Linked DNA regions of Lonchura striata. The protein of the gene in region 4 interacts with the protein of the main gene of each other region in a pairwise test. Links are inferred from orthologs where the notes say so. Each region holds a gene or a part of one and is shown on either strand. Other genes may lie near its edges.

What was found.
Region 1: the proteins of SGTA (region 4) and TMUB2 interact in binary tests that used the Homo sapiens proteins (3 or more experiments, as listed by UniProt). The two-hybrid records come from large-scale screens. The link is inferred for Lonchura striata from reciprocal best matches to the Homo sapiens genes SGTA and TMUB2.
Region 2: the proteins of SGTA (region 4) and CSF1 interact in binary tests that used the Homo sapiens proteins (3 or more experiments, as listed by UniProt). The two-hybrid records come from large-scale screens. The link is inferred for Lonchura striata from reciprocal best matches to the Homo sapiens genes SGTA and CSF1.
Region 3: the proteins of SGTA (region 4) and TMEM174 interact in binary tests that used the Homo sapiens proteins (3 or more experiments, as listed by UniProt). The two-hybrid records come from large-scale screens. The link is inferred for Lonchura striata from reciprocal best matches to the Homo sapiens genes SGTA and TMEM174.

What each region holds. Positions count from the first base shown.
Region 1 is NC_134627.1:8,667,099-8,673,759, reverse strand, and holds TMUB2 (transmembrane and ubiquitin-like domain-containing protein 2), read right to left. Parts: upstream 2,400-6,661; 5' UTR 2,347-2,399; intron 2,106-2,346; 5' UTR 1,816-2,105; coding exon 1,343-1,815; intron 1,077-1,342; coding exon 707-1,076; 3' UTR 508-706; downstream 1-507. Other genes in the region: ASB16 (ankyrin repeat and SOCS box protein 16), read right to left, coding at 2,896-3,081, 3,162-3,275, 3,346-3,838, 4,605-4,872, 5,149-5,455; HROB (homologous recombination OB-fold protein), read right to left, coding at 5,943-6,016, 6,136-6,328, 6,455-6,559.
Region 2 is NC_134632.1:1,180,525-1,188,519, forward strand, and holds the start of CSF1 (macrophage colony-stimulating factor 1), read left to right. Parts: upstream 1-4,989; 5' UTR 4,990-5,049; coding exon 5,050-5,070; intron 5,071-6,302; coding exon 6,303-6,431; intron 6,432-7,995. UniProt on the Homo sapiens protein: Cytokine that plays an essential role in the regulation of survival, proliferation and differentiation of hematopoietic precursor cells, especially mononuclear phagocytes, such as macrophages and monocytes.
Region 3 is NC_134642.1:14,863,951-14,871,312, forward strand, and holds TMEM174 (transmembrane protein 174), read right to left. Parts: upstream 2,430-7,362; 5' UTR 2,415-2,429; coding exon 1,789-2,414; intron 608-1,788; coding exon 505-607; downstream 1-504. UniProt on the Homo sapiens protein: Regulator of plasma phosphate homeostasis. Decreases serum inorganic phosphate (Pi) uptake by regulating the sodium-phosphate cotransporter SLC34A1 trafficking by PTH and FGF23 in the kidney.
Region 4 is NC_134630.1:6,150,539-6,158,504, forward strand, and holds the start of SGTA (small glutamine-rich tetratricopeptide repeat-containing protein alpha), read right to left. Parts: upstream 3,016-7,966; 5' UTR 2,950-3,015; intron 2,057-2,949; 5' UTR 1,965-2,056; coding exon 1,865-1,964; intron 1,011-1,864; coding exon 907-1,010; intron 744-906; coding exon 659-743; intron 172-658; coding exon 72-171; intron 1-71. Other genes in the region: THOP1 (thimet oligopeptidase), read left to right, coding at 3,648-3,888, 6,848-6,996. UniProt on the Homo sapiens protein: Co-chaperone that binds misfolded and hydrophobic patches-containing client proteins in the cytosol. Mediates their targeting to the endoplasmic reticulum but also regulates their sorting to the proteasome when targeting fails.

The DNA.
Region 1 (6,661 bases), on a different chromosome or scaffold from region 4:
CCGGGGCCCCAGGACGGAGCTGTGGGCACCCAAAAACACGGGGGACCACCCCAGACTGCCTGGGGGGGCATGGCGAGCTGGGGCTGTGGGGGAAAGGCATCCTGAGCCCCTTCAGCTGCAGGAGAGGCACTGCGATTTGGGGTCCAAGGGGTGCAGTGGGGCTTGGGGGGGTCAGACCGTGCCCTGTGACCCCCCCAGGTCGGTGTCCTTGCCCCCCCCGGTGTTTCTGCGCGTCCCCCCCGCAGGGGAACTGAGCCCTTGTGAGGTCTGTGTGTCCCGTGAGTGGGTTGTGGCTGCCCCTGTAAATAAAACTGCATCTTGACTTGGTATCCCTGGCATTAATTACAGCTCGTTAATTAAACAGGGCCTTTACCCCTCCCACCTCCATCTCCACCCACTCCATTCAGCACGGGGCGGGGGGGGGGGGAGCCGGATTTGTTTTTATAAGACCCAGAAGTGTGGGTGGGTAGGAGAGCAGCTCCCAGGGCAGGAAGGCGACCACTGGGGTGACTTGACACCCTTTATTTGCATTAAAAAGTCCTTGGGAAGAAGCCACGGCCCGTTCCAGTGCTGTCCAGCTCCCCCAGAGCTGGGGCTGGGGACCGGCAGTGGAGTCTGGGGGGGGCACAGCCCCTTTTTGGGGGGCAAAGTCCGGCAGCGAGGCTGGGACCCAGCGCGGGGACGGAGGCCGCGGTGCCGCCCCGGCTCACCCCGCCTGCCCGTACAGCCCGAAGGCCAGGAGGGTGACCAGCACGGTGACACCGATCAGCGACACGGTGGCCGGGGCCGTGAAGAGCTGCCGGTAGTTGATGCGGAAATACCAGCCCAGCGCCAGCACCACCATCACCGTGGGCACCATCAGCGTGCCCCCGGCCAGCGGCAGCCCCGGGGCCGCGGGGCCGGCGGGGCCGGGCTCGGGCAGGGCGGCGGTGGCCGCGGTGGTCCCCCGGGAGCGGTGGCAGTGGATGACACAGTTGTCGGTGATGCGGAGCGAGCGCAGCGTGCGCGCCTGGTCCTGCAGCAGCTGCCCGCGGTAGATGAGCTTCATCTGGGCCTCCTGGCCCGGGAAGCATTTGCTGCGGGAGGAGGGAGGAGGGTGGGGGCGGCGGAGACCCCGGACCCGCCCGGGGAGGGACCCGCCCGGGCTGGGAGCCCCTCCGTTAAACGGGGAGGGTTCACCACGGCACCGCCACCGCCGCCTCTTTCGAACTTGCTGTCTCAAAGCCCACACCCCCCGGTATTTTTGGCACATCGGGAGGGATGAACGCCCTCCCCCGTCCCGTGGGAAGCGGCTGTTCGCAGCGGGGGCCCGGCAGCGCTCCCCGCGTCCCCCGGCCCTCACCTCTTGAGAACCCCCACGGTGTCCTCGGGCCGGGCCACCGCCACCTCCTCGGTGTCGTTGAGGAACTTGAGGCGGATCTTGATGAGGCCGGGGCACGCGTCACCGGTGCCCCCGGGCTCAGCGGCGCCCCGGGACAAGCCGGGCGCGTCCAGCAGCTGCTCCAGGCCGGGCTCGGGGCCGCTCCCGCTGTCCCCCGGTGCCGCCGCCCCTTCCTCCTCCGTTTTCTCCTCCGCGCCCGCGGGGCTCCTGGGGGGCTCCGGGGCCTCGGCCGCCCCCGCGGGCCCCGCGTAGGGCGGCAGCGGCCCGAGGCGGATGACGGCCGCGTCCCCGGTGCCCAGGAGCTGGCTGCCGCCCTCGGCCACGTACGTGGACAGCCAGGCCAGCACCAGCGCCAGCACCAGCACGGCCACCCCGGCCACCAGCGTCACCTCGTCCCCCACCCCCACGATGAGGGGGGCGGCCGGGGGCTCCATCTCCGCGATGCCCGCCTCGACCTCCCGGTGCCCGGTGTGAGCGAGCGGCGCGGCGGCAGCGGGGACCCCCGGGGCTGCCCCGGTGCCACCTTCGGGCTCACAACAGACCCTGGGGCCGCTCCCGGTACCCGGAGACCGCAGGGACGGGAGCTCCTCGCTGCGGATTGTCCTCCTCGCTCCCGAGACACCGAACCGGCGGCGCTGCGCTCACCTCACCGGGCCCGGCGGAGAGTCCCGGGGGTGCCCCAGCCCCTCGGTGCCCAGCGGGGCAGGGTCAGGCCATCCCCGACCTGGACGGAGCAGAGCGATGCGGTCAGCGGGGCCCGGGCATGGCGGGGCGGGAGGAACCGGGGACGTCCCGACCCGTGCCCGGGGCTCCCGGTGTGTCCCTGCCGGTCCCCGTGATTCCCGGGGGTGCCGGTGCGTGCCCGCCATGCCCGGCCATCCCGGGGGGTGCCGGTGTGTCCCTGCCAGCCCCGCGGTCCCGGGTGTCCCCGCGGTCCCGGGGGTCCCGGTGCCCCCCCCACTCACCGCCTCCCGCCGCCGCCGCCCCGCCGGAAGCGCCACGTCACCGCGCGCCGCCGCCAGGGGGCGGCCGGGGGCGGCGGGCGCGCCCCGGGGGCGGGGCCAGAGGGGCGGGGCCAGCGGAACGCGCCCCGAGTGGGCGGGGCCAGCGGAACGCGCCCCGAGTGGGCGGGGCCGGCGTGGGCGGGGCCACTTGGGGCGGAGTCACCGGCGGGGCGGGGCCCGGGAGCACCGTGGGAACCCCGGGCTGAGCCCCCCCGGGACCGGAACCCCCCGGACCCCCCGGCCCGGCTGTAACCCCCGCCACGGCCCCCACATCCTCCGGGGCCCGTCTGTCCCCCCCCTGCCACCCAAGGGCTCTGTCCCCTCCTCCCCCGTCCCCACTGCAGGTGACGCTGCCCCGCTGGTCCCACGGGGACAAGGACACCTCGGGAGCCACCTCTGCCATGTCCTTTACTGACAGCAGGGCACGGGGAGGACACAGGCAGCGGACACTCGTGGGGAGCAAGGAGGGCACGCAAGAAGGGGGCAGCGGCGGGGACACATGGAGTGCCCTCAGGAGATGAGACCCTCGATGGGCAGCTGGAGGTAGCGGCGCAGTGCGGGTGGCAGCGCCAGCTCGGGGACAGCGGCGCGACAGCGGGCGCCCAGGTGGCGCCGGATGGCCACGCGGGCCAGGTGCTGCAGCCGCCGCGGCCGCCCCGCCATGCGCACGGCCGAGGCGTAGAACTCCCGGTGCTCCTGCGTGGGGGGACACGGGAGGGCTCGGTGCGCCGGGATGGGACACGGGCACGGCCCGGGACCCCCCAGGACCCCGTTACCTCCCAGAGCTCGGGGGGCACGGCCTCCGCCCAGCCGTCGGCGGGGGGCACGCGGTCGTAGGCGTTGAGCATCACCTCCAGCGCCGGCGGGTGCTGGCAGCACAGCCTGAGCATCTGCCAGCAGAGCCGTGTCACCGGGGTGACCCCCCCGGCACCCCGAGTCCCCCGTCACCCCGTGCCCCACCTTGGGGTGCGCGGGGAGGGCGCCGTGGTCCAGCAGCAGGGCCAGGATCTCCTCGGGCCGCTGCTCCCGGTACTCGGGCACGGCGCGGAGGGCGCAGTCCATGGGGGTGTCCCCGGCGCCGTTGGGCACGGCGGCGTCGGCGCCGTGGCGCAGCAGCAGCCGGGCCAGCGCGGCGTGCCCGTTGGCACAGGCGTTGTGCAGCGGCGTGTGGCCCTTGCGGCCCGCGGCCCCGGCCCGGGCGCCGGCCGCCAGCAGCCGCTCGGCCACGCGCAGGAACCGCTCGGCGTCCTCGGGGCGCTCGGCCGCCGCCGCCGCCGCGTTCAGCGGGGTCTCGCCCTGCTGGGTGCGCCGCTCGGGGTCGGCGCCGTGGTGCAGGTACAGCTCCACGTGGGCCGGCAGCCCGTGGCGCGCCGCCACGTGCAGCGCCGTCACCTGCCGGTCGCGCGTGCCCAGGTTCACCCGCGCGCCGTGCGCCAGCAGCAGCTCCGCGCACCTGGAGCGCGTGGGAACGGTGAGCGGGCGCGGCGGGGACACGCGGCACCCGTGGGACGCGACCGGGACGTGCCAGGGAGACGTGATTGCAGTGGGACACCCGCAGGGACACCCCCAGGGACACCCCGGGAAAGCCTGGAGTCACCTGGGAACCATGGGACACCCTCAGGGACACCCCCAGGGACACTCCGGGAAAGCCTGGAGTCACCTGGGAACCATGGGACACCCTCAGGGACACCCCGGGAAAGCCTGGAGTCACCTGGGAACCATGGGACACCCTCAGGGACACCCCCAGGGACACCCCGGGAAAGCCTGGAGTCACCTGGGAACCATGGGACACCCCCAGGGACACCCCGGGAAAGCCTGGAGTCATCTGTGACCTGTGGGACACGGCCAGTGACACCCTGGAGTGACCTGTCACCCATGGGATACCCCCAGGGACACCCCGGGAAAGCCTGGAGTCACCTGGGAACCATGGGACACCCTCAGGGACACCCCCAGGGACACCCAGTGACACCCTGGAGTGACCTGTCACCCACGGGACGCTGCCATGGGCACCCTGGAGTGACCTGTCACCCACAGGACACCCCCAGGCACCCCCCAGGACACCCCCCAGGCCCCTGGCTCCCAGGTTGCGTGGGTGGGGCAGGAGTGAGGATCTCACGGGCCCCTCCTGCAGTGAGCCCGCCCTGGCTGCAGGTGAGACCCCACAGGTGAGACCCTGCAGGTGAGACCCCACAGGTGAGACCCCGCAGGTGAGCCCGCACCTGAGGCTGTGGGGCGCGGTGCAGAGGTGCAGCGGGGCCGAGCCGTCGGCGCTCAGCACGTTGGGGTCGGCTCCGAAGGCCAGCAGCAGGCGGGCGCAGTTGGGGTGGGGGGCGGCCGCGCTGTCGTGCAGGGGGGCCCGGCCCCCCACCACGGCGTCCACGGCCGCCCCGCGGAGCAGCAGGTGCCGGGCGCAGGCCTCGTAGCCGCGGGCGGCGGCGATGCGCAGGGCCGAGGTGTGCTCCCGGCGGGGGCTCAGCACCCACAGCCCTGCGGGGGTCAGCGGGGGCTGCCGGACAGCCCGCACCCCGCTGGACCCCCCTCACCCACACCCACCCACCCTGGAGCTGGCGGGAGCAGTGGGGCGCCCATGGGGCTGCCCCGAGCACCCGCCCTGCCCCAGACTCCCTGTCACCCACAAACCGGAGCAGCCAGCCCCGCTCCCCCCGGAGCTGCACCCCCTTTTCCTGCCCCCCACTCGTTCTGCAGGGGAACGGGGGGGAGGGAGAAGCAGGGAAGGACCCCCAGCCCCATGGCCGGCCGTACCCTGCTCCGGTGACCACACCAGCTCCTCGCTGACCATCTCCAACACCAGATTGGCGCTGGCCTCGTCCCTGAAGATGCTCTGGACGCGGGGCAGGTCCCCGGCGTAGAGGGCGTTGTGCACGGCGGGGTCCCGGCAGAGCTGGCGCCGCCGCGGGGGGCTCGGGGGGGCGCGGGGGGTCCCGGGCAGGGGGCGCGAGGCCGGTGCCCGGGCCAGCGCCCGGCGGCGATCCTCCCGCTCCAGCAGCTCCCGCTGCAGCCGCAGCGAGCGCAGCGCCGAGGGGCTGAAGGCGAAGCTCTCGTGGGCCATGGGCACCCGGCAGGGCAGGGCGGGGGGCTCGGGGCACAGCTCGGGGATATAAATAGGGCCGTGCCCCACAGGCGGGTGTGCAATCGAATCCCAGAGCCAGGGGATTATAAATAACTCCTGGTGGTAAACAGAGTCACGGGGTGCAGGGCAGCTTAAACTGTTGGTGGGCGCGAGGTGGGGACGTCCCACGGGGAGGGACCTGGGGATCCCTGGTCCTGCAGGGCTGTGAGAGCCTGGGGAGACGGCTCCTCACACCCGGAGGAGCAGGGACCCCGGGAAGGAACAGGGGTGACACACGAGGACACAGGTGATGCAGAAACCAAAGAGCCCTTTAATGCAGGTTTGGGGGCCCGGAGCAGCGCCGAGGCCTCGGGGTGCCCCGGCTCTCGGCCCCACAGCAAACACCACGGACACGCAGGGAGCAGCAGGGGGGTGCCAGCCGTGCCACCTGCTCCTGGCACCGCCACCCTCAGCAGAGCTGCTGGGCTCAGCCGCAGTCAACCCGAGCCGGGGCTGAGAAGAAATCCTCGGGCAGCTCTCCCAGGAGCCCGTCCAGGTCATCTGCAGGCACAGAGGATGTCACTCGTGTGTGTGTGTGACCGTGGCACTGCTCAGGGGCCAGGCCCGGCTTTCCCCAGGCCGGAGAGCTTCTCCTCCCCTCCAGGGTGGCTCCGACTCACCCAGGTCACATCCATCCGTTCCCACCGGTCCTTCCCAGCCGGGATCAGAGCTCGCTGGGCGCAGGGAGGAGCCCCCGGGACGCTGCTCCGCGCTGGGTCCGCCTGTCCTCGGCTGTCCCCGGTGCTCGGGAGCAGGGACAGCCCGGGTGGGCCGTGCCGGGGGCTCTGGGCTCAGCTCAGCCAGGCCAGGGACCTGCAAAACCCAGCGGGGATGGATTCCTGGGGGATTTACCCAGCCCCCCCTTCTCTCGAGGGTCCCCAGAACCCAGACCCCCCTGGGGTCCCAGCAGCCCCCCAGGGCCGCCGGTGCCCCCCTGACCTGGCGGGGGGAGCAGCCCTCGGGCTCGGGTGGGAAGATCCGGAGGAGGTTGTTGGGGGTCACGTTGAGGTAGTGGTTGCGGTGGGAGGGGGAGAAGACCCCGACCTGCGGAGAGGGCAGACACAGCTCCTGGATAAACCCCCAAGGTACAGGTCCCCATTCATGGAAATCTCAGGATGAGGGGTGACATTTTAGGAATAGCTGAGA
Region 2 (7,995 bases), on a different chromosome or scaffold from region 4:
ATTTGGTCCCTCGGACACGTGCTGAGGTCAGGGGCAGTGTTGAGTGTCCATCACACGGTCTGAGGGCATCCCAGGAAGGGTTTGGCACGTTTGGATGTCACCTTGCTCCTGGCCATGGTGACAGGAAGCACCAGGCGGTGCTGAGGCCTGCCTGCCCTGGGGCATTCCCAAGCTGTTTTCCAAGCTGCCCCCGCTTGTGCCCAGCTGCTCCTGGCACAGCCCTGCAGCCCCAGCCATGGGTCAGGACTGTCCTGGCTGAGCCGGAGGGTGCCAGGGCTGCCCCCACACTGCGCTGTGCCGTGAGCTCGGGGGATGCCCAGCAGGAACGGGACACGCTGGGCGCTGTGGCCCTGCAGCAGCCTCCTACAGGGTGTGCTGGGGATGCTGGGGAGAGCATGAGCACAGGGACATTGCCCCGGGGTGGGCATCGTCCTCTTGCCACCCTGAAACCACAGCTGGTGACACCTCCTACCTCCCCCAGGCTCTGTGGGTGCCCGTGGGCAGCTGCCTGGGAAGGTTTTTGGCTCTGGCCCTGCCACATTCCTTGGTGGAGGGAGGAGTGGAGCTGGAGCCTGACACGACTCAGCCACAGCCACCAGGACTGGGGACACGCCGGTGACCCGCGCGGGGCTGTCACCTGCCTTTTGTCCCTTGTCACCACCTGGCATCCCCCCTGGCACGGACACCCCTCCCTGACCCCGGGGCTGGGCTTTATCTGTGCCCAAGGACCCCCGAGCACGCGCTGGGGTGGTGGGAGGTCTCTGTGGTGGGGAGCCCGGGTCATGGTAACTCTGAGGAGGGACGGCCCCAGCCTGACCCTGCGGCTCCCTGGCTCCCGGCCCGGCTGAACTCCCTGCCCAGGGCTCTGCTCCCATGGGTGCTGCCCCTGCGGCCAGGGGCTGCTGCTGGGGCAAGCCTGAGATCCCCCCGCTGCTGGGAGCTGGGTGGGATGTCCCAGTGTCCCCTAGGGTGTCCCAGTGTCCCTTAGGGTGTTCCTGTGTCCCTTAGGGTGTTCCTGTGTCCCCTAGGATGTTCCTGTGTCCCCTAGGATGTTCCTGTGCCCCTTAGAGTGTTCCTGTGCCCCTTAGAGTGTTCCTGTGTCCCCTAGGGTGTCCCAGTGTCCCTTAGGGTGTTCCTGTGTCCCTTAGGGTGTTCCTATGTCCCCTAGGATGTTCCTGTGTCCCCTAGGTTGTTCCTGTGCCCTTTAGAGTGTTCCTGTGTCCTTTAGGATGTTCCTGTGTCCCCTAGGGTGTCCCAGTGTCCCCTAGGGTGTTCCTGTGCCCCTTAGAATGTTCCTGTGCCCCTTAGAGTGTTCCTGTGTCCCCTAGGGTGTCCCAGTGTCCCTTAGGGTGTTCCTGTGTCCCTTAGGGTGTTCCTGTGCCCCTTAGAGTGTTCCTGTGTCCCCTAGGATGTTCCTGTGCCCCTTAGAGTGTTCCTGTGTCCCCTAGGATGTCCCAGTATCCCCTGGGATGTTTCTGTGTCCCCTAGGATGTCCCTGTGTCCCTTAGGGTGTTCCTGTGTCCCTTAGGGTGTCCCAGTGTCCCCTAGAGCGTCCCAGTGTCCCCGTGTGGAGGGCTGGAGGAGGGGAAGTGGGAGATTTGCTGCGGGATGAAGGCTCCAGCCCCATCACGGCATCCTGAGTCCCCCCTGCTGGCAGCGGGCTGGGGGGACGTGCCTTCCAACCCACATTCCTCCGCTCCTGAAGGAACTGTCCCGGGACCTTCCCACGGGGATTTCCAGCCCGGGCACACATCGCTGCAGCCTGGATTGTGCCGGTGGGATCCTGGCTCAGCTGCAGCACCAGGAGGCTGTGGGACAGCATCCTGGCCTGGCCCTGCGCTGAATCACCGGGAAGGAACTGATTAAGACCTTGCAACACTTTCGTGCTGGAAATAACTTTCTCCAGAGAGGCAGCCCGAGGCTGGCTCTAGGATGCAGCTGGAGGGATTGGATATGCCACAGGTTTTAGCCCTGCTTTGGGGCTCGTTGGCTGGAAAAAGCTTCCCGAAATGAGGGGTTGGTTGGGATGTGCTCTCACTCCCATGGGGAGGTGGGAAGAGAGGGAATTGAGGTCCAGGGAAGCTCCAGCCTTGGCCACGGTGGAGATGTGGCTGCATGGGGGTGGTGCTGGTGTCTGCTCCAGACCCTTTGGAACAGGGACCATCCTGCCCCCTTGCTCCAGCCCTGCATCCTTCCGTGCTGGGCAGCAGCCGTGGGCACCCTGGGGTGCCCAGGAAGCCCTCCAGCCTCCTCCCACCTTTCCCCCTTGGCTGACAGTGGCTCTGGGGGGAGAGGAGCAACTCCTGCACAGCACCAGCGTGGTGACAGTGCCATTGGTCCCAGTTTGCCACTGGGAGAGGGACAACCACCCTAAATTTTGCCTCCCCGGTTTTTCTGGCTACAGTGTGCACACGGAGCTGCTGCCACCTCTGCCACCAGCCCCATTTCTGCCCCGTGACTCAGGGATTTCGGCAGGTTTGGGAAGGGAGGAGGGGCAAAAGCCACTTCCCTGCCAAAAACAAAAGAGGCGGATGCTGCTCTCGCCCTGTGTCAGGCATGAGGCAGATTAATATTAACCCGTCCCTCCATCCTGCCGTCCCTCTGTCCTGCCCTCCTTCTGCCCCTGGCCCGCTGCCCCACAGCTTGTCCCATGACCCAGCATATGACACTTTTCCTGTCCCTTCAAAGCAGAGGGCAATGAGTGTGCGGGACATGAGCAGCCCGTGGCCTCAGCCGGTGTGAAAGGGCCTCATGTGCTGCCACGGGGTCCCCGTGAGTCACCCCTGGTGCTGGCGTCACCCGCCGTGTCCCCGGCGTCCACCCCGGTGTCCTCCCAGCGCGGGGGCTGCGAGGCTCCCAGAATAGCTTGTGATGAAAAATGTCTCAGCGTTTTGGGGAGAAAGGGGTTATTTTGGGAGGACAGCTGATTTCTAAACCTGATTTCTACTCCTTCCCCAGCCTGTCACCCTCAGCACCCTCAGATGTTTATCTGCTGCTGTTGCTAAGGGACACTGAGGGTGACAAGAGCTGGGGCACCCATGTGCTGGTGCAAATCTGACGCTATCTTGGGGCTGTCACTGCTGTCCCCAACTCCAGCTGCTTCCCAACTCTTCCCCGTCTCTTCCAGCAGATCACTGATCCCAACCCATCACTACTGGAATGAGCTCTCAGCTCCAGGAAAACCCCTCAGCAGCTTCTGCAAGCCCAGCAGGGTTTCCGGCCCTGGGGAGCAGATCCCGCTGGCCCCTCGGAAGCTCGGATGTGGTGGCTGTCACCCACACTTGGCCCCATTGTCACCATCCCCTCTTGCAGCCACATGCCAGTGTTTGTGGAGCAGTTTGCTTTCGGTTTCCTGTCAGAATGCCGAGTGCTTGGCACCGCCGTGGATCACCTCGTGGCCACTAATCACTTCCAGTCGCCTGGAAAGCAAACAGGCAGCGGAGAGGAAAATCCCATGTTGCATGGCTGTGCTGGGCCCGGATCCAGCCCCTCACAGATCCCTGTGCACGGATCTGCACCTGTGCACATGGATCTGCTTGTGCACATGGGGACCCTCTGTGCACAAATAGACCATTCATGCACACGGGGATCCATCCATGCACACGTGGATCCATCCATGCACACGGGGATCCATCCATGCACACGTGGATCCATCCATGCACACGGGGATCCATCCATGCACACGTGGATCCATCCATGCCCATGGGAATCCATCCATGCACACATGGATCCATCCATGCACACATGGATCCATCCATGCCCATGGGAATCCATCCATGCACACGTGGATCCATCCATGCACACATGGATCCATCCATGCCCATGGGGAACCATCAATGCACACGTGGATCCATCCATGCCCATGGGGATCCATCCATACACACGTGGATCCATCCATGCACACGTGGATCCATCCATGCCCATGGGGATCCATCCATGCAAACATGGATCTCTCCATGCAAACATGGGTCTCTCCATGCATGTGTGGACCCATCCATGCCCCTGGATGTGTCTGTGCTCATGTGAACCCATCCATGCACACGGATTTGTCCATGTTCATGCAGATCTATCATGCACACGTATGCAGACATCTGTCCGTGCACATCCCTACCAGTGCATCTGCTTGTGCACGTACAGGTCCATCTGTGCAGATGGATCTGCCTGTGCACACGTGGGCTGATCAATGCTCATGGATCTGTCCATGCACATCCTTGCTGATGCATCCATCCCTGCATGCTCTGATGGGTGTCCATCATATGTGTGTCTGTGTGTGTGTGTGTGTGCCCAGGGATGAGCAAGCACACACGTGCAAGGCCCAGAGCTCTGTGCGTGCTCTGAGGGGTGTCCCTGCACATCCAGGGGGGTTGTGTTTATGTTCACACGGATAAAAGTGCCCAGGGGTGACCATACACACACACGGGGGTGTGAGCACACGTGCACGTTCCGAGGGGTCCCCGCGTGTGCACAGTTGTGTGTGTGCGTACACACACGTGCCAGGCTCAGGGCTGTGCGTGTGCCCGTGGCTACCGGCGCCCGGGGTGCCCGTGGCCACGCAGGGGTGGTGTCTGTCCGTGGCGCATCCACGCAGAGGTGTGCGTGCGCCCAGGTGAGCACACACGCGTGTGTTTGCGATAACGGGGGCTCACACACACGGGCCGAGCCGTGCCGAGCCGGTTCCGGGAAAGCCGAGCCGATCCCATCGCAACCGAGCGGCTCCAGCCCAACCCGAACGGCGCCGCTTCGACCCCAGCGGCGGCGAGTCCGAGCGACTGAACGGCCCCAGCGGTTCCGATGGGACCTGAGCGGTTCTGCCCGGAGCCGAGCCGTGCACACGGGAGCCGGCAGTGCCGCTCGGTGCCCTGCCGGTGCTGGCCCGGGCCGGGCCCCGCGGGGCCTGGCCGCCCGCCAGGGCTTTCTCATAAACCACATGCTGCCGCGGCGCTATAAAGGGGAGCGCGGCCGCGGCGGCGGCTCAGCCCGGCCCCGCTCGGCCCCGCCGCCGCTGCCGCCTCGCCCGCTCCGCCCGGCCCCGGTCCCACGGCAGCCCCCATGCCCCGCCTCGGAGCCAAGGTACGGCGGCCCCTCCCGCTCCCCGCGGCCGCGGAGACCCCCCCCAGCCCGGCGCCCGCCGCCACCTGTGCGGGGCCCCCGCGGGAGCGGCGGCCCCGCGTGTCCCCGTGCCCCGCGGTGGGTCCCGTCCCCCGGGGGTCCCGGCTCCCGCCGGGGGATGCTCCAGCCCCGCCTCGCTTGGCCGCGGCAGCCCCGCACCCGCGGGGTGAAGCCGCGGCTCCGGCCCCGGTTCCCGGTTCCCGGTTCCCGCCTCCAGCCCCGTTACGATTCCCAAACCGGGCGTGGGGAGGCCCCGGCCGGTCCCCGGCCCCAGCCCCGTCCCCGGCGGGGCGATGCTGCAGCCCCGGCTCCATTCCCGGACCTGCGCGATGAGGCGCCAGCCCCCGGCGCGGTTCCAGCCCCGGAGCCGCGGGGTGAAGCCCCGTCCCGGTCACCGACTCCAGCCCCGTTCCCGGCTCCAGCCCCGTCCCCAGCCCGTTCCCGGCGGGGTGAGGCTCCGTTCAGCCGTGACCACATCTCGGCGGTGGCCCGGGCGGCATCTTGGAGTTTCACAAGAGGGGAGGATTCCTGGATATCATCCAAGGGAAATTCCCCCCCACTCATCACCCAGGCACCCTGTCCCCTGCCGGTGCCCCGGGAGAGGGGTGCACACCCACCCGAGGGTCCCCTCCGCCCCCACCTCGGGAGTCTTGGCTCTGGATCAAGCCCCGTTTCTCACCGGGGTCCCGCCACGGATCGGGGCCTCCCCGCTTCTTTGCAGGGGGATTGGGAGGGAAATTTGGGACGAGGCCAGAGCTGCTGCATGGAAAGAGCCCGGCGGGTGCAGCTGGGGGGGTCTGGAGGGTGGGAAGAGGATTTTTTGGGGATGGGTGGGTCAGTGTGTCAGATGGGCTCTGGAGAGCCAGGGCGGAGGAGGAGATTTGCAGGAGAGACGGAGAAATGGTTCGGGAGAGGGGAGAGGGGCTGGATCGGGAATGTGGAGGTGGCCAAGGGCCACATTCAGGCGTGTGTCACCGGGCCTTGGGAAATTCCCTGCTGACCTGGAGCTCCTAAAAATAGCAGGATGGGGATAGGCACGGGGTTGGAGGAGCACAGTGGGATTATCCTGCTGGACCGTGGCCAAGTGCCGGCTCCCACAGAGGTGGTCATGCCGGGGGGTGGTGGAGATTGGCAGGGGGCTTGGCATGTGTGTGGCTTATCCCTGCTTCAAACTCTTCCTGTGCCGTGCTCAGGTGTGCCTGCTCCGCTGCTCCCTGCTGTCGTCCCTCCTCCTCCTGCTGCTCCGCATCCATGAGACGGAGCAGAACAGCTACTGCCAGCAGATCATCACAGAGAGGCACCTGGCCGAGCTGGAGGAGCTGGTGAGTGCCCTTCCGGGGCTGTGCCGTGGGATGGGGGCTCATGTGGCGCCAGATGGGCACAAAGCAGCTCTGTTTTAGTGCTGAAATAAGGAAATGGGGCGATCTTCAGCTCCCCTAGTGAAGTGACGGCACCCGGGAGCTGAGCATCCATGGGCACAAGGGACAAGTGGGCACCGCGGAGTGACAGATGTCGTGCCTTTATCAAGGGTGGCTATGGAAAAGTGACGACAGGAGGAGCGAGAGAAGGCGGCAGCAGGAGCGAGGCCGGGAAGGGGACAGGACTGAGGCTGGATGGGCGCAGGGCCGCTGGGGAAGCAGCGGAGGGGCGGCTCTGCGGGCTGTGGTGCTTTCCGGGCGGCCGCGCAGGGGTTAAGCAGAGGAATCCGGCTGCATTCCTGAGTCCAGCTGCTTGCCTGGAAGCTGGGCTGGCAACGGGGCTGTGGGTGGGTGGCAGGCGGCGAGGGGGGCCCGGCCGGCCGGTGGAGCCGACCGGGCTGGGCGATGGGGCCGTCGTCCCGTGTGGCCCGTGGGCAGCTCCGGGCGCCGGCGGCCGCCCCGCGGCACGGCCAGCCCCGGCCCGGCGGACACAGCTGCCGGGGCCGTATCTCTCTCTTCGTGGCCCTTGGCTCACCTCCGAGCGGGGAATCACGCGGATGTTCAGGGGAGAAGCGGGAATCGGGGGCACGCAGGGATTTGCAGGGTTGTCGCAGATTAAATTCTGCCTGCAGCAAGAGGGGTGTGCGGGCGAGAGACGGGAGCGGCGCCTCCGAGTCCCCGGGAGCTCCGCTCGGTGCAAACCGCCGCGTCCGGGCTCGCTTCACCTCTTCCTCTTTAACCACCGAGCTGCGGGGCCGGGAGCCGCTCTGGGCGAGCTCGGCTTCCTCTGCCCGAGCCCTCTCTGCACAACGCATCCCCCGAGGGATTAAAATTGGGTGCGCGGCTGTGGGAGGGAGGGAACGGAGCAGGTTTGAATGGACGATGTGGTTTTCCTGCTGGGGATTGCAGCCCTCTCCTCGCTGATGGAGGAGCTGGCCCTCGCTCCAGCGCCTGCAGGATAATGGAGCAATTGTTTCCGGGACGGCATCCCAGGCTAGGAGGAGAAATGCCGGCCGGCAATTCTGCCAGCCCTCGCCCTCCCAGCCGGGGATGCCAGCCCGGAGGGAGAGCGTTTGCTTAGGGTGGGTTTTTCCTCCCACTGGGGAGGGTGGTGGCGTGGGCGGCCGGCAGCGCTGCGGGTGGGACCCCGGCGTTGTGTGATCCCGGAGAACGTGTGACCCCGGTGTCACGGCCACCTCCTGCACGGCAGGATGCTCTTTTGCAGCCTGGATTTAGAGGAGAGAGTGATGCGGGGGAGACCCGAGGAGAATTAAGCGGGGCTGGGCTCCGCTGTGGCGCTGGCAGGAAGAGGAGGAGGAGGAGGAGGAGGAAGAGAGGCGGGGTGGGAGCAGGCAGGGAAAGGCAGGAGAAGGTCTGTGAATTGGGGAGTACAACATCCTGATGGGAGCAGGAATCCTGAGCTTACTCCTGCCACTGCATCAACCGTAGGGATGTGCCTGTGTGAGGA
Region 3 (7,362 bases), on a different chromosome or scaffold from region 4:
ACTAATGAGTAAGCTCTTCTAAAGAATCAGACAAAATTAAGACATAAAGTGCACTTTCCTGGATCAGACACTTGAGCACTTTTGAACTTTCCCAAGCAATCAAGAATGAAAATACCTCAAGAAAAAATCAAATATTTTCTAAAGATGCTGAATGTCCAGGAGCAACCATGATCGTCCACATACATCTTGTGTGTTCACAGCTCACCCTGGTTTCAGCAAGTCTTATAATCAAGCTTCTTGTTGGGAATCCTAATATGGATTTAGATCCTTTGCTATTAATAGTTTAGCCATTGAATAATTAATAGCTCTGCTATTAAGCTGCATTGCAAAGAGCTAATGAATCTTAACAGAGAAAAAGGAAGGGGGCAATTAAATATCTTCAGTGATCCTGTGTATGAATATCAAGAACTTGCTCACACTGTCTTATCACACAAGTGTTTAAAGAAAAGATTTTTTGGGATTCTTGCTAGCATCTCTTAGGATTATCTGTTGTCCATGATGATCTTATGAAGAAAAAGGGTATATTTCCTCATAACGTGGAGGTGACAAGTTATTACGGGCATAGTCTTCCAGCAGTCCTTCTGGTTCATCAGAACTGTCTTCTGACCTGAAAAGAGGAAGAGGAGCAGATACAAAAAGAATTTACCAAACACAGAGCACTCACCTAACTTCAGTGTTTCATCCTCTCAGCCTTATCTGGGAAAAGTACCCTCCAGCTTATTGAGAAAATGCTATGAGATTAAGTTTACTGAGATTCAGCTGTTTGCTGTTTTTTCATGAAGTTTAGAAGTGTCAGAAGGTGACTTTTGTCTTCACCCTACCTATGCCTGTCACCCATATTGCTGAGGACAATGGGTCAGTCAGCAGGTTTTTTTTAAAAGACTTTGATAAATGAACTAGCAGTGACTTCTGTTGTAGCAAGGATGTAATTATGAGTAATCCCTATAATTAGAATATTTTTCCTTGGAGGAAAGAACTATATAAAATTATTTTGTGTACAATTTGAGCAGCTCCATACTGCTGTGCAACGTGATTGATATTGTTTATGCCTCAAAACTAGGAAAAGAGGAAGAGAGGACTTTGGTTTCCCAAGACAATGTAGGGTTTTACAGCCTCCTACCATGAGGTCTTTACAATGTTTGGTCTCCTGGCCTAACAGAATGCCAGGACTATTATAAGTTATCAGATTTGAGGAATTATAAGCATGCATGCTAATAATACTGAGACTATAAAAGAGTTATATAAAAGGTGTATTAAAAAAAAGACAAAAAAATCATCTTGGGTATCGTACACATAAAGGATGGTGAAAAATTACTCCTCCCCAGTACTCTGGGAAATATTTGACTTAATATCTCCTTACTAATTTCTCCTTATTTTCAATGGCTGTTAATGTTAAACTTAACACCTCTATGTACTTTTGATTATTTACTTCTAGAGTAACCTCCACATTTTTGAATGTAATGGTTGCTTGTAACTGCTCCAGTGTCTCTCCCTAGAAGTGCCTTTGAAGAATTGAGCATATAGAAAGACTTGTGAATACCCCATTGTTTCCCCAATTTATACTTCACTGAAAACCAAAAGGCATTTATAAGTGAATTTAAATTGTATAAAAACACTTTCCAGGAAAAGTATGTTTCCTCATTCAAGAAAAATTCTTAACAAAGACAAAAAAATGTCTGAGAAGGATAATACCCTGGACTAGCCATAGTTTCTTATGAAAACACACACAGTATTTAAAAAATTCAGAAGCCTGTGTCCAAACACACTAAGTCATTTCAGAAGATGTACCTCTGATTCCTGTAATTCTCTGCAGGATAGTAGCTCTCATCTCCTGCAAAAGCCAGGTTATCCAGGGTGTAGGCAGGGCAGAAGTGAGGAGGACCCGAGGCGAGAAGTGGCGAGGCGCTGGGGGGAGCAGCACCGCAGCAGCTGAGCCCTGGGTGAAGGTAGCCGGGACTCCCAGCGGCGCCTTCCTGGGATGGGTACGGCGGAGGGATGTACTGCACCACCGTGGCACCGTGGAAAGTTATAGGCTGGTTAATGCCGGTGAAGACAAAGGACTGTCCACTTGCAGCCTGGTCAAGTTCCGATGTATACTCCTCTCTTTCTTTACAGGGCTTACATGTAAGCATGTTAAATTTACAAACAGCAATCAGAACAAAAGTCACCCCGACAGACAGCAGAATAGGCCCTAGTAACTGAGTCCACTCCAGGTGAGTAATGCCATCATATTTTATCCATCCCATCACAGTGAAAGTGATCCCCACCAGTCCCAAAAACACACCTGAAAAAAGTAGAGTGGTGCCAGCTTTATCCCCATCTGACACCAGGGCATCAGACCTGCTTGGCTGACAAGGAGTGACAGAAAAGACATTCAAGGAGAAATCTTCTACATTGTTGTTGTTTTGCTCCATTACTGAGTATAACGTACCTTCTCCTTCAAGAGAAAGAGGGCTTGTAAAGGACTTGCCAGAGCATTTAAAGTCGAAGGTTCAGGTTAGTTACACAAGAACTTTGTGTGTGTATGGTTAACAGAGTCCATCATGTGAAAGAATAAACTTTGCTTGAAAGAACAAAGGTCTGGGAATTGAAGCCTGAAGCCATCACAAAAGATTTCTTGAATTACTACTATCACTTCCGAAATGGATTCACCCCTGCATGACTGCCTGTCTCCTTGGGCTTCTTCTTTAATTTAGCACTCATGATACTGTGCTCATTCTGGATAGCAGAAAAAGCAAGCTGAAGTTATTGCAGCTTTTCCTTGGCCCCAGCTAGCTGATGTATCCAACATATGGACAGCGTATGTTTAGTCAGCAGCACTGAATAGATCCTTGCTCTCCACTTCCTGCTCAATTTTCTGCAGGAAAATTCCACATGGCCATAGCTAGGAATGCTTTTCCACGCTCTGAAACATTACATTTATAGTCATGCCTGGACCTCTGCTGCAGCTCATTTTGCAGTTTGTGTTTAAAAAAATAGCAAACTACAGTTCCTGGTATTTTTCTCGGGTAACCACTAGGTGAGCAGGAGGGTAAGTGGCAACAGGATGGTGAGCACTGAGAAGCCTGGGAGAACAATTGGCTGTGGGAGAAAACTTTTCAAGAGAGCCAAAGCTTTCCAGCTCGTTGAAGTAGTAAAATTACCCTATAATTTCCCCTTAATTCTGGACATTTTTTGTTGTAGGTTTTAAGGTTTATAGAGAAAATGCCCAAGTACCCTGAATAGCACATCATTGCAGGAATGAGAAAGCATCTCCTGTAATGCTAAACTTGACAGAGTGAGGAATCTTATCCTGTACTCACAGGTACATAGGACACTTCTTCATATCACAATTAATTGTTCTACTGAACTCCTGTCTCATGTATTAAACAGACAGATTATCGAATTTTGAAATTTTCTGTTTCCTAACAGTTTCAGACTAAAGTAATTGCTGCTGGAGGGTTCTGGTAGAATGTCTTCGTGTAATTCCTTAAGGAGGAAACATCTCCAAATACTCTGCCTGTTTTGACTAGCGTGGCAGGGTACTACACACAGGGCATTGATTACTGCTCATGCAGTAGAACACATTATGCTATTTCCTGCTACCAGTAGTTCTGGGGAAGCAAGCTTATCCTGAGATTTGCAAGATTAAAAATAGCTCTAGAAGTAGAAAGTTTACCTTTTAGACTGCTTCTTCAAAGACAGTAAAAGTACCTTTAGTCTACTGTGCATTCACATCACACTGTGTGACAACAGCTCTTTCTTGGAAAGGGTTATTCACCAAAGTCGGCACCTTTAGAACTGATGATGAATGCAATTGCAGATATCTTTCTCATTTTTTTAGCACATAGACTTTGAGGAATATTAATGCTGGTTTCCTTAAAAAAAAGAAAAGCTGTGAAACTTCCAAACGCAGCATTATTAAGTCACCACTGTCACCCAGGGTGTCAACACATTTTCTGACAAATACACTCAAGATCAGCCTTTCCCACAACACTAAGTCTGGTCAGGATTCTCTGCACTTCTTGAGTAAAGGATCAATCTTGCAATGCAGTGGTTTTGTATGATGACAACTCAATTATAAAGTGCTGAAATACTAGATAAAATTTCCTTGCACTGATAATTACTGCCAAAGTTTAAGTCACCTTTAACCTTACATTTGTTAAACTTCATGGAATGAACTGTTACTGCTCTTTACAAGTAAGATTTTTCCATACCATGAATCATCCTTGCCACTGCTGAATCTTTCAGGCTTTCCAACATCCTTTTAAAAGCAATGCTATATTATAATAGCTGTCTAGGTTATAGTTTATACAGATGTAGTGTCACCTTGCTCCTTTCATTCATTCAAGAACTCTGCAACTACTATTTGCAATGGGATCATGCTGGAGCACTTCCTCAATCCCATTGAATGGTTCTTAGATACTGTCTGGAATCAGAATTTTCCAAGTTGGGTGTTGTGTTATCCCACAGCTGTCTCTTTTCCTCTCGTCTAGGACATGACTTCATGATTGTTGAGCAAGTGCATAGTAGAGATGAAGAACACAGGATTCTTTTTTCATTTCCAAACTTACATGCCACTTGAACTTTTAAAATAGGATTGAAGATACTCTCCATTTGGTGTGCTAGGATCTACATCAAAATTACTCCTTTCCCTGTAAACTGTCCTTTCTCTGTAAGCCAGTTTCTTCTATGCATCTCCATATTTCTCCAATTATTTGTCCAGAGAATGGTAATGCTGCAGTCAGGGAGCTGTCAAGGTTAAGAGATTATGGGATCACACTGATTTTTTTTAAGACCAGTGCTTTTCTTTGTAAGTTAGTGTGTGTTCTGGGGACTCACTTTAAAAAGTCAATTCACTAAATACATCCCTTTTACTTGGTATCACTCTTAAGCAAAAGAATTTTGTGAAACCAAGAAAAATTGGAGTATGGTTTTTCAAAATGAATACTGTTTTCAGATCTCAATATAGTTTTGTTCTCATCTGCTTCAGACCTTACCCTTCAACACAAGCACTGCTTTGCTCTCTGTTCCTCCACCTAATTTTGTATTACCACTGCAAACTTCCCCTGCAGTGATTGCTGGTGGAAGCAGGTGCTCTGTTCTCTAACCCATTTGAAGAGTCATCCTAGTGAACACTGACAGGCTATCACTTATCCCTTTTTTCTTCTCCTTATGTCACCTATTTTTACACAGTTGTTCACATTATCAGCCCCTTGTAGGAAGGTTTTATTTTCTTACATGCCAATTATATAAGCAGGGACTTAGTCAAAGAACATGCAAAAAAAGCTGCATAACACACAGTATTGCACATTGATTAGCTTTAAAATGAGTAAGTACAAATTACCACTCCATAATTTAGGGAGATTAAGGACAGTGGTTCGAGTTAGTGGGACCTTTTCATAGAGAAAAGTAACTGCACATGGTGTCTTTAGTGGAAAATATGAATTACATGTGTAAGAGCAGTACATGAAGAACCACTCTGAGTGGGCCTTTCACCCCTGAACTACTGCACTGCCATCCTCAAAGCACAAATAAATAGTGAGGAGCAGATTCAGCCAGCTGCCCACAATTGCACTTACCAGCAAGATGACTTTATTTTCTCCAGAAAATGCTGTCCTGTGAGTAAGGACACCAAAATGAAGGTTTTACCATGCCTAATTGTTGAGATGCATGCATGGGTGATAGAGGGGGTTGCACTGAAGTCTGGCATGTTCGCTGCAGAAAAGTGGAGATATTGTCACTACAAGTCATGATTCTGTAGAGACAGGATGGAAGTGGGATAAATGAATACAGCAACACAAACCACAAAGGGGAAAGATGGTGTGGGTGCAATCACACCCTTGCGATAGCAAATGCTGCCATCACAAAAACACAGCAACATCGCAAAGACCTGTGCAATCTCAGTTTTTCAAATGAGTTAACTGTTCATTCTTTTAGCTGCTGTTGATGTAGGACGAAAGACTTTTCCTAAAGACATTCATTTATGTTTGTGTGACTCCCTCTCAAATGCAAAGGATTGCAGTGTTGCAGTTAGAAGTAGAGCAATGTCAGTGCAGGCAGCAAGGAAGAAAGACTTTAACTTCAGTTAGAGAGGGCAAGCAATCCTTACCTCCCACTTTGCCTGTTTAAGTAAGTGTGAATCAGTAACCACCTTGACTTGCTCACTAGCATTTGTATGTCAAACACTTAAGCTAACCTTAGGGTAGAAAGAGGGTTATAGCACCATTAGTGGGACAGTAAAGTATCTCACTTCCTCAATAAAAATGCTATTCCGTATTATTTTAAGCTACTTTTATAGTTTTACAAGGTGTTGCTTCCTTTCTAATACAGACATTTCACTCCTACTCCCCGCATAAAAAATTCCTCCCTCTACTGCCATTCACCCAGTGGTAGCCTTCAGTGGTGAGGGCAGACTTGCTAGCCTCTTACTCACATTTTCTGACCTTGCTGCAACAGATTTCAACAGTTGGCAAACACTGATGCACTGGCTGTGTTAACTACTTCAGTGCTGAGCAGTCTGCAGAGAGGCACCAGCACATCTACTGAGTTTTCAAGTAATGATTTTCTAAAGTCAAAAGTAAAAGATGCTTATACAGCTGTAAACTGATCTATTTCCTAAGCATCTTCTCAAAATCCTAGAGAGATAAATTCAGTTTTCAATCCTTGTTTTCAGGGGTAACATCCAGCCTTCTCAGGAAACTCAGATGCTGAGTCTGAAGCCACTTTCTGAACCATAGTTTCTGTAAAGATTGCTTTTTTAAAAGTAAAGTGATCTGTACTGAAGACTCTGCAGTAGATGTTCCAAATACAGTAACCTTGAAGGAAAACAAGATTATGTCTGTTACAGAGAACTCAGATACGGCAACATATTTTGCTTGATTTGTCTGGTCTCTTGGGTACATCTTGGGAACAACTGACTGAGCAAATTGAAGGCAGAAGAAGAGCTTGATACTTTTTCAGTTTACCACCAGAGGTAACTGATTTTTTTTTAAGATGGTGAAATTTTTCCAGATTTATGAAAACATGTTTTGATATTTAGCCTTTTCAGAAAATGAGTGTTCTGAACAACAGGATAAAGCTAACATGTTGCATGGGATCTTTCCAGTAAAATACCCCAGCTTCTGTTCTTGTTATATGATAGAAGGATAAATTGAGAGAGAAACAAGCACCTTAGACATGTGCAAAGCTTTGTACACACAAATCATGTACAGTAGTGAGTCCCACTGTTTAAACAGTAGGAGAAAAAACTTGAAAAAATAATCAGAGAGATGGCAAATTATAGCTTGTGTTGCAGATTGCATGTAAGGAGAAACATCCTTGAAAAACTCACTCTGTAAAAAATGTTTGAGAAAAAAGGACAAAATCCCTACTGGCTTTTGT
Region 4 (7,966 bases):
AAAAATGGGAATTTGGGGCATTCCAGAGCCTGGGATCCCAGCAGGGAGCAGCTGGGGGAGCTGCTCAGTACCTGTTGCAGAAATAAACGGCGTTGGCTGGGTTTAACTCGATGGCTTTTCCATAAAAAGACACGGCAGCCTCGAAGTTTTCTGCCTTCATTTGGTCGTTTCCTGAAAGGAGGGTGGGAAAGGATGGAAAAGAACTGGGATAAACCAAAGCAAAGGCCTGGATCCATGGAAATAGCACAGGGGAGAGGTTTGTCAGCGTGGGGCAGGTCCAGCTGCGAGGCTGTGCTGGAAATTCCAGCATTCCTGATGCTGCATCCCAAAAAAAATCACCCCAGCTGCTGGCTCAGGGGGGAAGTGCTGCATCCACACTCATCCCACTTTTTCCCAGGAAAAAGCCACGCACAGAGCAGGAGGGATGGATGCTCTGCTCCACACCCCACAGGGTTTTTGGGATAAAAATCCCACTGCTCCAACATCCCTGGCAGCAAAATCTCCCCACACTTCTGCAAACCAAACGGAGCAAGAGGCAGAAATCGAAAACATTTTGTTTTTCCCCTCCATTCCAAGCATTCCTCAGGTGCCAGGGAATTGAGATCCCCTCCCAATTAGCACCAAACCCTCGTTATCCAGCAGCTCCAGGGCTTGGTACCTTCAGTCTTGAGTCTTTCAGCTTCAGCCACATCATCTTCCGAGGGAGTGACGGGCTCCGAGTTCGTTCTGGAGTGTTCCGGCTCCTTCCAAGGAGAGAGGGAGAAGCTGAGCTGAGCATTCCCACAATTCCCATTTTTCCAGCCCAAAACGTTCCCCTCCCACACGGAGCTCCTGAGGAGAGCAGCAGCCTCCAGGAAAATCCAGCAGAGCTTAAGGAAAAGGGAACGTTCCAGGGCACTCACTCACCTTCCCTACCACAGCTTCAAATATTTCGGGGAGGGTCTGGGACACAGCCAGGCTTTGGTCTTCCATGGAGACCCCAAAGGCTGTTTCCAGGCACTGGATGGCCACTGGATAAGGAGAATCAGGTCATTAATTAATAAACATTCATCCCTCTCCCTCATCTCTCAAAAAAACCAGGAAAAACCCCACCACTTTCCCCACGCCAGATGGGATTTTTGGGCTGTACCCTCAGATTTTGGTAAAACTCAGAGCTGGGCAAAGCTTCCCTCTGGATATCCTGGATGGAGCCAACCCCAGTTCCCATCCCGAGGGATTCCTGCTGGGGCTGCAGCAGCATTCCCACTGCTGGGAATGTGGGAATGGCCCAGAATTCCAGGGAGAGACCCAGACATTCCCCTGGCTCTGGGAGCCACCTCCTCCCTCCTCAGGCTCGGGAAGCTGCTCCCAGGGAAAGGAGAGCCTCCTGCCACATTCCACATCCCAAAATATCCCGCTCCCAGCACCCCACAGCCACGCTCCTTTCACCAGGACAAACCCACAAACCAAGGACTAAACCTTAAGCTCCTTAGGGAGATCCTTTTAAGATCCCTGTCCTTTGGAAGGGCCTGGAAAAACCCTGAGGGATTTTTGGGGAGCAGAAGAGGAGAAACAAGGCCAGGAGCACAAAAAGCTTCCCTGGAGCTGGGGAATTCCCACCTCCCACCCCACGGAATGCTCAGCATCTAGGATGAACCCTCTGAGTCTCCAAGCAGGGATCAGGGAGGCTTCTGTCCCCAGCTAAGCTGCTCTTGGAAGAGATCAGAAGCCACATGAACCACCAGCACCCCTGGATAAATCCCCAAAAAAGGAAAAATCAACTCCGAAATCCCAGCGAGGTTCAGCACCGGCAGCAGCCCAGCCAAGGGTAGAAAACAGGGAGACAACGGCGAAAATTCTCCCAAATTTTGGGAGATGCACCCACCTTCCAAACTCTCCTGAGCGTCTGGAGACATGCTCCCGTTCTGGAGCTGGGTGTGCAGGAACTGGATGATGGAGAAGGCCAGACGCTTCTGGTCTGCCATGCTGGGAGAGAAGGGCTGCGAGGGGCCGGGCTCCTCCTCCTCCTCCTCCTCCTGGTGTCCCAAAAAATTCCTGCAGAGGCTCCAAGGCTGGGCTGGAGCGGGGAAAGGCAAACAGGGGTTTGCTGCTGCTGTGCCTCGGAGGAGGCCAGGATGGATTTGGGGGGATGAGGGAGCTGCCCTGTCCTCTCGGTCAGGGAAGAACTCCAGAACTTTCCTGATATTCCTTAGGAATTCTCCTGGCCTGGATTCAACCCAGAGGGTTGAAACCCTGGGAGCACTGAGGAGCTCACCAGGAAAAATTCCCAATTTTCTTGCTCCTGAAAGCAGAGCCAAGAGCGGGAGGGATTTGGTAGCCCCTGGTAGCCAGGGCTGTCCTGGCGGGGAAAAGGGAAAGAAATCCCAAAATCCCAAAGCACAGAGAGCCCAAAAATTCCCGAGGCTGGGAATTCCAGTGATCCCGGGGCAGCGAAAGCGAGCCCCGGACCTTAAGTGGGTTTGTAGCACAGCCAGGATCGTTTAAGCGAGGAACGAGCTCCGTTTCACCGGAGTCCCACGGACCCGAGCGGAACCAGAAGCCCCGGGAGCAGCCCCGGGCCCGGTTGGGTTCCCGTTCCCCGACCCGGGATCTCCCGTTCCCCGGCTGGGATCCCGTTCCCCGACCCGGGATCTCCCGTTCCCCGACCCGGGATCTCCCGTTCCCCGACCCGGGAGCAGCCCCGGGCCCGGCTGGGATCCCGTTCCCCGACCCGGGAGCTCCCGTTCCCCGACAGCACGGCCCAGCACCGGAGGGTCCCGGCGGGGGCCCAGCCCCGGTGCCCCCGGTGCCCCGGTTCCCCATCCCAGTCCCGGTGCCCTCCGGTGCCGCTGCCCGCAGGCGGAGCAGGACGGCGGCTGCGGCGGGCAGCACAGCACGGCCCGGCACCGGAGGGTCCCGGCGGGAGCTCAGCCCCGGTCCCGGTGCCGGTCCCGGTTCCCCCGCGCTCACCGGACACTCGCCTGGGCCGGGCGCGCTCCCGCACTGCGCATGCGCCGCGCCCGCCGCCCCGCCCTCCCCGGTGCACCGGAATGGGCGTGGCCTGGCGCGGAAGCCCCGCCCCCAGCGGGACCATAGAGATGCCGGCGTTGCCACGGCAACGCGCGGGGGCGTTGCCATGGGAACGGGCGGGCGGGACCCGGGGATGCTCCGCGCCCGCCCCGCGCCCGCTCCCGGCCGGCCCGGAGGGTCGCGGCGGGGATGAGCCGCCCCCGCCGCCCGGCCCCGGTGCGGCGCGGGCGCGGCGGGAGCGGCCCGGTCCTCCAGGCTCCCAGCATGCCCCGCTCTCCCGCCCGCCTCTCCGGTCGGGGCACATGCTCGGTGCGTGGGGCCGGCCCGGTTTCCTCCCGGCCTCGTCAGCAGCGCGGGGCCTCCCGGTACCCCCGGCACCCCCGACATGGCCCCGCCGACAGGTACCGGCGGGATGGGGGCACCGGGGAGAGCGGTGAGGGGAGAGGGATGGGGCGGCAGCACCGGGCCGGGGCCGGTCCCCCGGGCCGGCCGGGGTCTCCTCTCCCCGCGGGTCACCTCTGTGGCCCCGTCCCCGAGCAGCCGGCGGGGCACGGAGTCGGGTTTCGGGACCGGGAGGGGCGAGGAGCGCCCGCTCGGCGATCCCGCCGCCGATTCCCGGCGGCCGGGCTCTGCCCGGAATGCTCCCCCCGAGCTGTCGCCGCCGCTGTCCCGCAGGGAATGTCGTGGACGGCCAGGCCCCGCGGCCCGTGGCCAGCCAGCTGCGCTGGGACCTGACGGCCGAGCAGATCGAGGCCATGGCCGCCGAGCTGACCGAGAGCACCAAGCTGGTGTACGACCGCGTGGGAGCCCAGGAGCGCGGGGAGGTCTCCTACGAGAACACGCTGAAGGCTCTGGCGGACGTGGAGGTGGAGTACACAGGTGGGATCAGGCTGGAGGGGACTGCTCCTGCTGGAACAGGGTGGGATTGGGCTGGGGGAGCTGTTCCTGCTGGAGGAGGGTGGGATTGGGCTGGGGGAGCTGTTCCTGCTGGAAGAGGGTGGGATTGGGCTGGGGGAGCTGTTCCTGCTGGAAGAGGGTGGGATGCACAGGTGGGATCTGTGGGATCAGGCTGGAGGGGGCTGTTCCTGCTGGAGGAGGGTGGGATTGGGCTGGGGGAGCTGTTCCTGCCGGCAAAGGGTGGGATACACAGGTGGGATCTGTGGGATTGGGCTGGGGGAGCTGTTCCTGCCGGCAAAGGGTGGGATACACAGGTGGCATTGGTGGGATCGGGCTGGGGGAGCTGTTCCTGCTGGCACAGGATGGGATGCACAGGTAGGATCTGTGGGATTAGTGGGATCGGGCTGGGGGAGCTGTTCCTGCTGGAAGAGGGTGGGATGCACAGGTGGGATCTGTGGAATCAGGCTGGAGGGAGCTGTTCCTGCTGGCACAGGATGGGATTGCTGGGATTGGGCTGGAGGAAGTTGTTCCTACTGGAAGAGGGTGGGATACACAGTAGGATCAATGGGATTAGGCTGGAGGGGGCTGTTCCTGCTGGCACAGGGTGGGATTGGTAGGATTGGGCTGGGGGATCTGTTTCTGCCAGTAGAGGGTGGGATCAGTGGGATTAGTGGGATCAGGCTGGAAGGAGCTGTCCCTGCTGGAAGAGGGTGGGATACAAAGGTGGAATACACAGGTGGGATCAGTGGGATTAGGCTGGAGGGGGCTGTTCCTGCTGGCAAAGGGTGGGATACACAGGTAGGATCTGTGGGATTAGTGGGATTGGGCTGGAGGGAGCTGTTCCTGCTGGAAGAGGGTGGGATACACAGGTGGGATCAGTGGGATCAGACTGGAGGGGGCTGTTCCTGCTGGCAAAGGGTGGGATTGGGGCTGGGATAGCTGTTCCTGCTGGCAGAAGGTGGGATACACAGGTGGCATTGGTGGGATTGGGTTGAGGGAGCTGTTCCTGCTGGAAGAGGGTGGGGTACAAAGGTGGGATCTGTGGGATTGGGCTGGAAGGAGCTGTTTCTGCTGGCACAGGATGGGATGCACAGGTAGGATCTGTGGGATTGGTGGGATTGGGTTGAGGGAGCTGTTCCTGCTGGCACAGGGTGGGATGCACAGGTGGGATCTGTGGGATTAGTGGGATTGGGCTGGGGGAGCTGTTCCTGCTGGAAGAGGGTGGGGTACAAAGGTGAGATCTGTGGGATTGGGCTGGAAGGAGCTGTTCCTGCTGGCACAGGATGGGATGCACAGGTGGGATACACCTTCCTCTTCCCGGGAAGGCGGGAGGTTCTCGGCTTGCCCAGAGCGGCTGTGCCTGCCCCATCCCTGGGAAGGTCCAAGGCCAGCTTGGGATAGTGGGAGATGTCCCTGCCCATAGCAGGGCTGAGCTTTGAGAGACTTTCCAACCCATTCTACGATTATTAGGATTTTTGGATTTTTTTTTTTTAGCTCTGTGCTGTCACCTGCTTTTCTCTCCCCGTGGCTGCCAGCAGAATGTTGGTTTTATTCCCAGTTAATGTTTACACAACCAGGAGCCAGCACAAAGAGCAGATTTGGAAAAGCAAATTAACCCAAGGCCAGCAGGAGCAGCCATGTCCCCAAAGCTGTCCCAGCTTTCCCGTGTCACCAGTGGGAGCAGAGAAAAGATCCCAAAAACTCTCACTTCCTTCCTCAATTTTCCCTGGGACAGTGGACAAATGTCTCTCCATGTGCCTTGTTTGCTGCTGGAATTTTTTGGGAGAGTCAATCCTGCTGGGATTTTTTGGGAGACTCAGTCCTGCTGGGATATTTTGGGAGAATCAGTCCCATTAGGATTTTTTGGGAGGATAAATCCTGCAGGGACTTTTTGGGAAAATCAATCCTGCTAGGATTTTTTGGGAGATTCAATCCCGCTGTGATTTTTTTGGGAGAATCAATCCTGCTGGGATTTTTTTTGGAAAATCAATCCTGCTGGCATTTTTTTGGGAGGATAATCCTGCTGGCATTTTTTGGGAGATTCAATCCTGCTGTGATTTTTTTTGGGAGAATCAATCCCGCTGGCATTTTTTTAGGGGTGGGGAGTACCACGACGTGATGGCACCAAAACTGTGCTCTTCTGGTGGCTTTCTGGATGATTATTTGCAGCAGGGTGACAATTCTGTGGCCCCTCCTCGTGACACCTGGGCTGCTCCCTGTGCTCGAGCTGCCCCACCTGTCTGGGGCCGGGAGCAGCCTCGTCCTCCTCCTCTCCCAGTTCTTTTTTCCCTAAAATAATTGGGGAAAAAGCATAATTCCTTTTGCTCAGCAGGAGGAATGTGCACCTCAGCACGGCTGTCAGCACTTCCCTGCCTGAGCTGCCTGTTCAGCTTCTGCTGGGGGCAGAATCCAGGTGCCTGGAGAGCACCTGGAGTGCTGCTCTTGGAGCTTTTTGCAGGGATAACAGCAGGGAATGTTCTCCTTGCCTTCCCACGTGGAATTGCGTCAGGACAGGGCGCACCTGGGGCATGGTGGCTTTTTTGGGAAGTGTCTGCGGGAAGGGATTGTCCCACTTTGAGCTTTAAAGGAGGCAGGGAATGCTGCTGCCATCAGGAATCGTGGAATTCCTCCAGCTGCAAAGGAGCATCGAGTCCAACTCCTGGCCCTGCACAGGCCTCCCCAAACCTCCCGTGCTGCCACAGCTGGGGCAGAGCTGTTGGGGGCTCACAGGCACAGAATTCCCGTGGATTTTGGGAGGATTGTGGCGGGAATCCAGCAGGGTGGATGTGCTGGGCAGCAGGGAAGGCACCAAAGGGAGCAGGAGCCACATCCCACCTCCCTCCCCTGCAGCGTGGTGGAAAAGGCTCTGGGGCTGCCAGCCTGGCTCCGGGCGTGTGCTGGGACGTGGAGCCACCATCCCTGTCCCCTTTTCTCCTGCCAGTCCGTAGGAACATGCTGGATTTCCCCCAGCACGTGTCCCCCTGCAAGGCCACCCGCGCCGCCAGCACCGAGGCCGACAAGAAGCTCTCGGAGTTCGACGTGGAGATGAGCATGAGGCAGGACGTGTACCAGAGGATTGTGTGGCTCCAGGTACGTCCTCTGCCACCTGCAACCCCCTGGAATTCCAGCAGATCCTTCTGCCTCATCCCAGAGCTGAGAAGGGAACGATGCAGGAGTGGGGTGTGGGCACGGCAGAGGGAGGGGTGGGAAATTTGGGATTGAGGGCTCTGCCTCCACTCAGAGCCTTGATCCCCTCTTTGCTGAGGGGCTTTTGGGAAATCCAACCCATCTCAGTGGTGATCCCCCTCCAAAATGCTGATGGGGCACAAAGGTGACGTGTTTAAAGCAGCCTGGTGTCGGAATCTGTGGTATTGATGATTCTGAGATTGTAAAAGTCTCTGTCTTTCAAAGAATCAGCCATAATTGGTCTGTGCTGGTTTCCAGGTTGTTTATTCTGTTTATCTCTCACATGTTCTGCTGCCCTGCCCAGCTCTGTCCTGCAGGGCAGCGTGTGGGGCTCTGCCCTCAGTGGGATGTTACAAACATTAAATACCAGAAACTCCCTGGGCTGCATTTACAAGAACGTGCCAATATCTGTCACCTACGTTGGACAGTGTGTGCCCAGCCTGAACCAACAGAAAAATGCCAACACCACAGTGAGACATGGAGGGCATGAAGAAGGAGAAAAAGGACAAGGCACACCCAATTTCCTCCATCTTGTCCCCTTTGGACCCCTCATCTAGAATCCTAAAATTTTACTTTTGCACCCGTGCCACACTTAATTGTTACTTATATCAAACCCTCAGAGCTGGTAATTCATCCTGTCCGCAGGATGTAAGATTGAAAACTCTTTTCCATGGCCAGAGATCACAGCCAGTGTCTCTGGGGGCTCTGTCCAGGGGGTTCCTGACCCCTGCCAGGGTCCCAGGGCAGCCAGAGGGAAACTCTGCATTTCCACAGTTGGGAGGAACCCATGTCCTGAGGTGACACAGGAACCTCTGCACCAAACCAGAGCCTTCCCTGGAGCTTTTCCATCTGCTGGTGTTCCCAGAACTCCCAC